2 linked regions of the Oryzias latipes genome follow. The protein of the gene in region 2 binds, or shares a complex with, the protein of the main gene of each other region. Links are inferred from orthologs where the notes say so. Each region holds a gene or a part of one and is shown on either strand. Other genes may lie near its edges.

Region 1 (3,500 bases), on a different chromosome or scaffold from region 2:
TAATGGCTGATTTTGCTTATTTAATTTTTAATACATTTTAATTTATTGTTACTTTTAAACATTTCAAGTCATTTCAGTGAGCATTGTGGACTTTATTTAACTGAGGGGAACCAACAATATTGTCCACCACTGTAAGACGTCTTCGATTTCACGAAGTTAAAATCGAATTAATATGAGCGTTTTGTGACGAATATGTACTAGTCCACTGTCTTCTGAAGATAAATACGTTGATGGTTTATTAGAAAATACATTTAAATACATATTTTTGTAAAAATTGTTACGATGCAATGTATTGTGGTCTATAATCGCCGATCTAGTGAGCAGCGAAGCACACTGGTTTTTCGCAGAGACTTCTGTGAAATTTCTAGGGCACTTAGTTTTGGAATTTTAGATTCGGACAGCACTTCAAAATGGCAAAACACTATATGGTGAGTAGGGAAGGAATTAGGTCACAACATCCGAACATTCCCTTTGTCCGCACATTTTCTAATTTGGACGTTTTCTACACCAAAATCTATGCATTTTTATAAACTAAGCCCCAGGTCCAATTAAAGTCAAAGTTATTTCTGTGTTTATATTTGTTAAATGGCACAATACTGTGCTGTAAACCCCATATACTGTAATCTTCTCCTCAGGTGACTGATGTCAGCGAGCAGTATCAAGAGCACTACCTGAAGAGTGGAGACATTGATGGTCGACTGTTTTTCGATGGAGATGAAACCGTCCTTGCACCAAAAGTTGACATGTAATTTCTTTTTTCCCTCTCATCTTGGTTTCTGAGCTTTGTTGAAGAGTCTTGTTTGAGAGTCTGGTTCTGCCTTCAGTTCCCAGGTAGAGAGAACTCCCAAGAAGACCTCACCGGATGATGACGGGCCATTAATCCCTCCACAGACACCAATTAGGTTGACCAAACACATACACACACACACACACACACACACACCATCAAGTGGTAATTTATATATATCTATAAATGTTTTTCTTTTTCTTTACTAAAACTGACAATTTGTCTACTTAAGGGGAAGGGAAATGTCCAAAACCTAAATATTAATACAAAAATGTGTGAATAATTTTATATTATGAAAATATTTATAACATTTTTACATTTTTTAAATTTGGCCTGTAAAATTATTGACATACCAGATGCCATAAACTGGCTGTTTGAAAAGAAGGTATTCAAATTTACAAAACAAATACACATGTGAAAATAGGTGGAAACTTAACATTCGTTTTTATATCTGTAAGGGAAAATGTTTACATTGACATTACGAGACCTTTGTGGGTAATTATGGTACTTAACCTGGTATTAAATGTTTTTTTTAAGTCTCTGCATTTGTCCTTATTTTGAAACTTTCCTTCGCAGAGCTGCAATGAATTCTATCAAGATGCTGAGGGGTGACCTTCCCTCCAGTGGAGACCAGCCATCCTCTAATCTTGCGATATATTTTAAAGTGGGTCTGTTCAAAACACTGAAATGATGCTTTCTGTCAAATTGCAGATTTATACTTGCTTTTTTTGCTACTAATCTTTAGAACTGCACTGTGGACCCAACCCAGGGTATACAGAAGCGTTTGGAGATGCTTGGACAGGTGTTTAGCCAGAAGTTTGGTGAGGCCGTTGGACCGCATTGCATTGTGTATGGCAGAGAGGTATGAAATACCGCTATTATGTTCACTTTTATTAGATTTTCAGTTGCTAGATTTATTTCTCCAAATTTAAAAAAAATTAAGCAAGACTTAAAATGACAAAACATTGGATCAGAAAACAATCAAATCTATTTGTATGAATGAAAAGATTCTTCAGAATGGATCCAATTTATCAAGTTTGAGCACCAAAACTAGCTTCTTTCTATTTTCTTTTAACCACATCTTCCACTTTGCAGAAGATTTGACCTTTCAGAACATTTTGAGAGAGACAAAACACAAACCAGGGATCAGTTTAATGTGAAACCTACACCAGTGTTACTTACCTGTTGCTGCTCTTAACCTAATATTTCTCAATGTTGGCAAAACCCTTTAAAACGTATCATAATTTTAAATAATATTACCTATTTTCTTTTACTTTTCAGAGATTTACTCTTGGAGTTAGGCTGTATTACAAGGTCATGGAGGCAATGCTAGAATCGGTAAAGTTTTTTATTGTTGTTTTGTTTCAACAGATGTATTTAACTAAATGTATCTTTTTTGTCAAATAAACTTTAGAGTGCATACAGTGCTTGCCTTTAGAAAACCGTAGCAGACATATTTGAACAGTTTTATTGCTTTTATTTCAAAGGAGGAGAAGCGACTGTCTGTGCAAAATTTCAGGTAAATTTTGCATCTTTGTCGTGTTTGTGTGTAGTCAGGGACTCTTTACGCATTTAATTTTTTATTTTCTTTTGACACTGATCCTGCAGTTTTCTTTGCCTCACAAATCACTTGCTATAATTTTCAGCAAACTTCTCAATGACTCCACGTTTCACATGTCCCTTTTGGCTTGTGCTTTGGAAGTCGTCATGGCAACATACGAAGGTACATTCACCCATTAGCTTATGAAAAATAAATAAAGTTAAAGCTAGTTTATTAAAAAAAAGGTTATTTAATTTAATTTTTCTATAGGATTTCTGTTGGCATGGCTTTTCTGTTAAACATTTGCAAAAATGTTTGTGCTTCATGAATAGAGAGCAGTTTCAAAAACAGAGGATGCAGTCATGGAGAAGGCGACCAAGCAGTGAGAGACCTGTGTTTCCCGTGGATACTCGATGTGTTCGATCTCTCCGCCTTTGACTTCTACAAAGTCATCGAAAGCTTCATCAAGGCTGAACCAACTCTGAGCAAAGATATTATCAAACATCTGGAGACGTGTGAGAACCTCATCATGGAGAAGATCGCATGGAGGACGGTCAGTTACACTACTCACCTTTCTTTAAACCAGTGCATCCTGCAAGCATGCAGAGTATTAAAGACATCATTGACTCAAATATGAAATAAATTATTTTAATTACAGAAAAGGAAACACGTTTTAGCAAATAGGTACAGGCTGTAACACAGTGGCAGGTTTTCATCAGGGTTCAGAACAGAAAGGAGATGCTTTACATAAGGCTGTGCCACTTCCCTGCTTTTGCACGACTCACTACTTTGGTCAACACACAAAAACACTTCAGATAATTGTAGAAAAAAAACACTTTACTTTGCTAAAACCACAAACTCTAAATCAGCATTTTGAGCTAAAGCAAAAAAAATAAAAAGGTATTTGACACAAAAAAAATTCAGACTGAAGACACAGCATGAAAGACTTGTTGCGTTGTTTTTAGAGCCTCTGTGCATTCAGTTATTTAGAGATAGATTAAAATGTTTTTCTTTAGCAGCTTTGGTTACACTTTTTGCAGTCATGCTTGTGCTAATTTTGTTTCTGAATATTACCACAGTGAATTTTAAACAAAACAACTCAGATGCCATTGAAGTGCAGACTTTCAGCTTTTATTCCATGGGTTGAACAAAAAGATTGCACAAAAATTTGAA
Region 2 (4,076 bases):
CAAGTGGATGCATCAGAATGGGGCGGAGCAGGGAGCCTGTGGCCCCGCCCGGCGGATTTTCTACGTCACAAATGCGATCTTTTACGAATACTCGGAAATGCAACTTTGAGCTTAGTTGTCTTAATCTGTAGCAGTCCTGTGGAGCTCGGTGCAGAATGCTCCTTACCCATAGACTGGATGGTGGATCCTGCAGACACATTCTGGTTGTTGGGGTCATTGACTCCCCCCTGGCCATCCAGCAGGGACTGGACTGCTAGAACGGTCTGGTTGTCCATGCCTGAGGGGATGGAGGGAAACAGGGATTTAACATCAGTAACAGCTTTTCTTTTTACAACATGTTAGAAGAAGATCTGCTTCTCCATGAAAGTGACAGAAACAATAACGCGAGGAGTGCATGTTCACATATTAATGAATAGCTTTTATTGTCACATGTACAGCTTTTACACTGACATACGAGATGAGTTATTATATTACAGAAATAATTAATATTACATTTACAAAAAAAGCCGTTTATAGCAGTACAGTCTTAATCTTTAAAATATAATCAGGTTGTTTACAATCATCATCATCAGATCAGGCAGAACCCTTCAGTTCAGGGTGCTTACAGCCTACATAATACCCGTTTAAAGGGTGATTTAGTGTTCAAACAAGTCTCCAGTTAATTTACATGATGTGGTTTTCTTTGGCATATAACATATTTAATAATTGCGCGGTAAATAAGACTATATTTGTACCTTCCAGCGCCTCGAATATTGTCTGCGCCATCTTACAGCGCTCCTGTTTACCATCGGTGATCGATTGGTAGGGTCTGTTACTTTAGGTGCAGACCCCCCAATGAAATGCTTACATTAATATTTGCAAATAGAAAAAAACTTATCACATTTGGTTCAGACCCCCAGAAAACTCTAGTTTAGAAAGTTCCTAAGCAATCAGATTTAACTTTATTTTTTGTTAATCTGATTGCTTAAACGGAGAGGGAGCGCTAGGGACTACATTGAAAAAACGTAACTTTTTTAAGCTGGGACGCAAAGACTGTTACATCATATATTTAATATGGTAAAGGAGTTTATCTTTTAGTTTTGGGAAACCTTACATGAAACTGACACTACGTGTTTTACTATTTTGTTTAAAATTTCCTAAACAAAGCAGTTAAGAAGCCTTTTGTCCGTGGAACGTGAATGCACCTCCCAATCAGCAAATCTGTGCTCTGGAGAGTCACAGACGGCCATCTCCGCCAATCAGAGAACACCAACCTGGTCACATGGAAGGCCAGTTTTCCCCATGCTCTGTAACGTGACAGACGGCCATTTCCACCAATCGGAAGACACCAATCGCGTCACGCGCAAAACGAATCCCACTGGCCAATCCCAGCGGTCGCTTTTCCCCACGTGCCAGTTTCGCGGCAAAAAGGATTTCGCGCGAAAACCGTCCAGCCTTGTTTAGATATAGATCAGCTGGGACAACAACAATGACGGCTGCTAATGGGGTCGGCGCGGCTCGTTTACAGATGGACCCGATCTTCGGCGAGCAGACGAAGGAGCATCGGCACATTTTTTAACGTTTGAGCGAGTATTTCCTCCGTTTTGTCTGCATCTCCCGCGTTTCTCCGAGTGCTTCCTGCGTGCCCCAACAGTACGAGGGGGACCGAAGAACTGCAGCTAATCCCTGAAGCTAGCATGCTAAAGTTCCCCGTATTTCCGCGCTAAACTCTCTGTCGTCGCCGTCGCCCGGACGGATGGTTGCTTTCTTTTGGGAACTATTTTCTCAAAGATGGTGTGGATCTGCGATCATGATGCCTCCGCCGAGTGAATGTGTATTTTTTTTATTGCTTAGATAGCCCAGTTCTGTGAGCGTCTATAAAGTTTTCCGAACCCGTTAATGAAGCCATATCGTAGGGAAAAGGAGATAAACTTTTAGGTAGTGGTGGTAAATGTAGTCCTCTGCTGTTGTTCGTGTTTATTAGCAAAGTTGTTGTAGTCTTTTCTTGTGGTAAGCTAGTTCGTTAGCTTGGTAGCTCTGTGTTTGAGGACGGAGTGGCGAGGCCTCTGACAGGAAAACGAAAGACTAGCAGGCTAGCTCGCTCATGATCTCAATTTACGGCGGGTTTCTTCTTCTACTTCGTCTTTTGACCTTCTTTTATTTCCGCTGAAAACGGCGCGCGAGCCGAGCAGCGCGTGAGCCTAAAGTAGGATGCGCTCAGCGGGTCGTTTCCTGTTTGGGCTCCACGTCTCGCCTTGACGTTTGAACCTTCGACTCCTCTGTGGTTGATCTGCAGATTTCAGGCTCGCTGTAGGTCAACCTTCAGCAGGAGGAGGAGGAGGAGGAGGAGAGGTTAATGGATCAGCATTTTCTCCTCAAGTCCTCCTAACATGTTTGGGGTCACCTGGTGCTGAGCCTGTTTTGATACCCCAGTTGGTGCCCCCACCCTCCCTGGCATTCCCCCAGTCTGCTGCAGGAGCCCTTTGGGCGGCAGGCAGTGCCATGTCAGAGACTCTGATAACGGGTCAGACATCCGAGGATCTGCTGAAGGACTTTGAGACTCTGCTGAACTCCGGGAGCATCGATCTGAGCCAGGACCACCAGATCGTCATCATCACCAGCCCCAGCAATGAGGGACTCCACCCGCTGGCCGCCCCCAGCAGCACGGGGGAAATCCTGCTATTCGCCACGCCGCAGAGCCACGCCGACGCGGGGGGCCAGGACAGGAGGAGGCCGGCTCTGGGAAGACCTCCGGTGAGGGCGTGGCTTCAAGGCGGCCGCCGCCGCCACATCATCACACGCCGGGGTTCACATAATCGATTCCTCTTCATTTGATGATTAGGTGAAGAGGAAGCTGGACCTGGATAGCGACCACCAGTATGTCAGCACCACCCGATCCTCCGCCAGCCAAGCACCTCCTTCTACTCCTGCTCCTCCCAGAGGTACGCCGCACGCTCAGGAGCAGGAGCGCCGACTCGGCATCCTTTCACGGCGCTGAAGCTGGCGTCCGGTTAGCGGGGGCACTAAAGGAACATTCCACTGCATTTTTCACCCTAAGACCACCTTAGACCAGGTCCTTTTCAGAAACCACAGGACCTGGGCTGCTCAAACCTGGATTAAAATTAGGATTTAGATAGTAAAGAATTCATTAAACACAGCTTCTGATTTATGAACATTGAAATGGGATGATTTTATGTAGTTGATCAATTTAAAATGATCTATTTTTAGTCTGCCGTCGTTTGGTGAGCTGCATTGCAGGCAGACGACACGAATTCACAAGAGGGGAGGCAACAGAATCCCAAACAACAGAGCGCTGCGAGCAGGAAAGCCACAAAAACTTTAAAATGATTAAATAAAAATGAGTCCAGGTCCAGCGGTTTTTCAAAAGGACCGGGTCTTAGGAGGACCCGGTGCGTAAAATACTATAAAATCCTCCTATTTCACATTTTCATGAGTCAGAAACTGTGTTTAATGAATTCTTTACTATCTAAATCCTAATTTAATGCAGGATAGAGCAGTCCAGGTCCTGTGTTTTTGAACAGGACCACCAATCATTTTACATCTTTTGGATTGCGTAACGCTCAGACTGACTCATGACATCATGGCGTCCACATGCTGCGTGAAGCGTTTCCGTCCGCAGACGTTTGGGGCCGTTGGGATGAGAAGTTGAAGGAGAATTTCTGCTGAAGGCTGAGCCTCAGTTCCTTTTGTTTTTTTATCACTGAAATCCACATTTGACCGTTCAGTTCTAAGATGTTTCCTTCAGCAGAATCTTCATCGGTGGATTTCTATTTTTAAACCACCAAAAGACCCGCCGTGGCTCCGAAATCCAGGTCCCGTGGCCACGTCAGAGAGGGCGGGGCTTGGAGTTTCTTTAAAGGCTGGTTATAAATATTACCTTAAAGAAAATAAAAGTTTCGATGGCGTGGTCCAAACGAGGCCTGCCTGTGCCGCTGGAACGTCTTCACAGCTGGAGTCGGAGGATCACCTGTTTTCCACCTGGATGTGTGTTTTGTTTGTGGAGGAGGTTTAAGGCGGCGTGTTTTTCACTGCTTTTCCAGTTCCTCGAAGCACGGCGGAGAAGTCGAGGTACGACA

Evidence for each region. The genes of interacting proteins can lie anywhere in the genome.
Region 1: the proteins of e2f1 (region 2) and rb1 are in contact, whole or in part, in a crystal structure (PDB 2AZE), measured with the Homo sapiens proteins. The link is inferred for Oryzias latipes from reciprocal best matches to the Homo sapiens genes E2F1 and RB1. Residues at the interface, in NP_005216.1 of Homo sapiens: Ala267, Pro268, Pro269, Glu270, Thr271, Gln272, Leu273, Gln274, Ala275, Val276, Asp277, Ser279, Glu280, Asn281, Phe282; in NP_000312.2 of Homo sapiens: Ser829, Arg830, Ile831, Leu832, Val833, Ser834, Ile835, Phe845, Ile848, Met851, Val852, Asn854, Ser855, Arg857, Val858, Leu859.

The regions. Positions count from the first base shown.
Region 1 is NC_019872.2:15,926,888-15,930,387, reverse strand, and holds part of rb1 (retinoblastoma-associated protein), read left to right. Parts: intron 1-635; coding exon 636-745; intron 746-824; coding exon 825-902; intron 903-1,363; coding exon 1,364-1,451; intron 1,452-1,532; coding exon 1,533-1,649; intron 1,650-2,068; coding exon 2,069-2,125; intron 2,126-2,274; coding exon 2,275-2,306; intron 2,307-2,433; coding exon 2,434-2,510; intron 2,511-2,659; coding exon 2,660-2,880; intron 2,881-3,500. UniProt on the Homo sapiens protein: Tumor suppressor that is a key regulator of the G1/S transition of the cell cycle. The hypophosphorylated form binds transcription regulators of the E2F family, preventing transcription of E2F-responsive genes.
Region 2 is NC_019865.2:2,000,237-2,004,312, reverse strand, and holds the start of e2f1 (transcription factor E2F1), read left to right. Parts: upstream 1-1,276; 5' UTR 1,277-2,185; intron 2,186-2,275; 5' UTR 2,276-2,481; coding exon 2,482-2,733; intron 2,734-2,821; coding exon 2,822-2,921; intron 2,922-4,040; coding exon 4,041-4,076. Other genes in the region: znf341 (zinc finger protein 341), read right to left, coding at 167-277, 735-765. UniProt on the Homo sapiens protein: Transcription activator that binds DNA cooperatively with DP proteins through the E2 recognition site, 5'-TTTC[CG]CGC-3' found in the promoter region of a number of genes whose products are involved in cell cycle regulation or in DNA replication.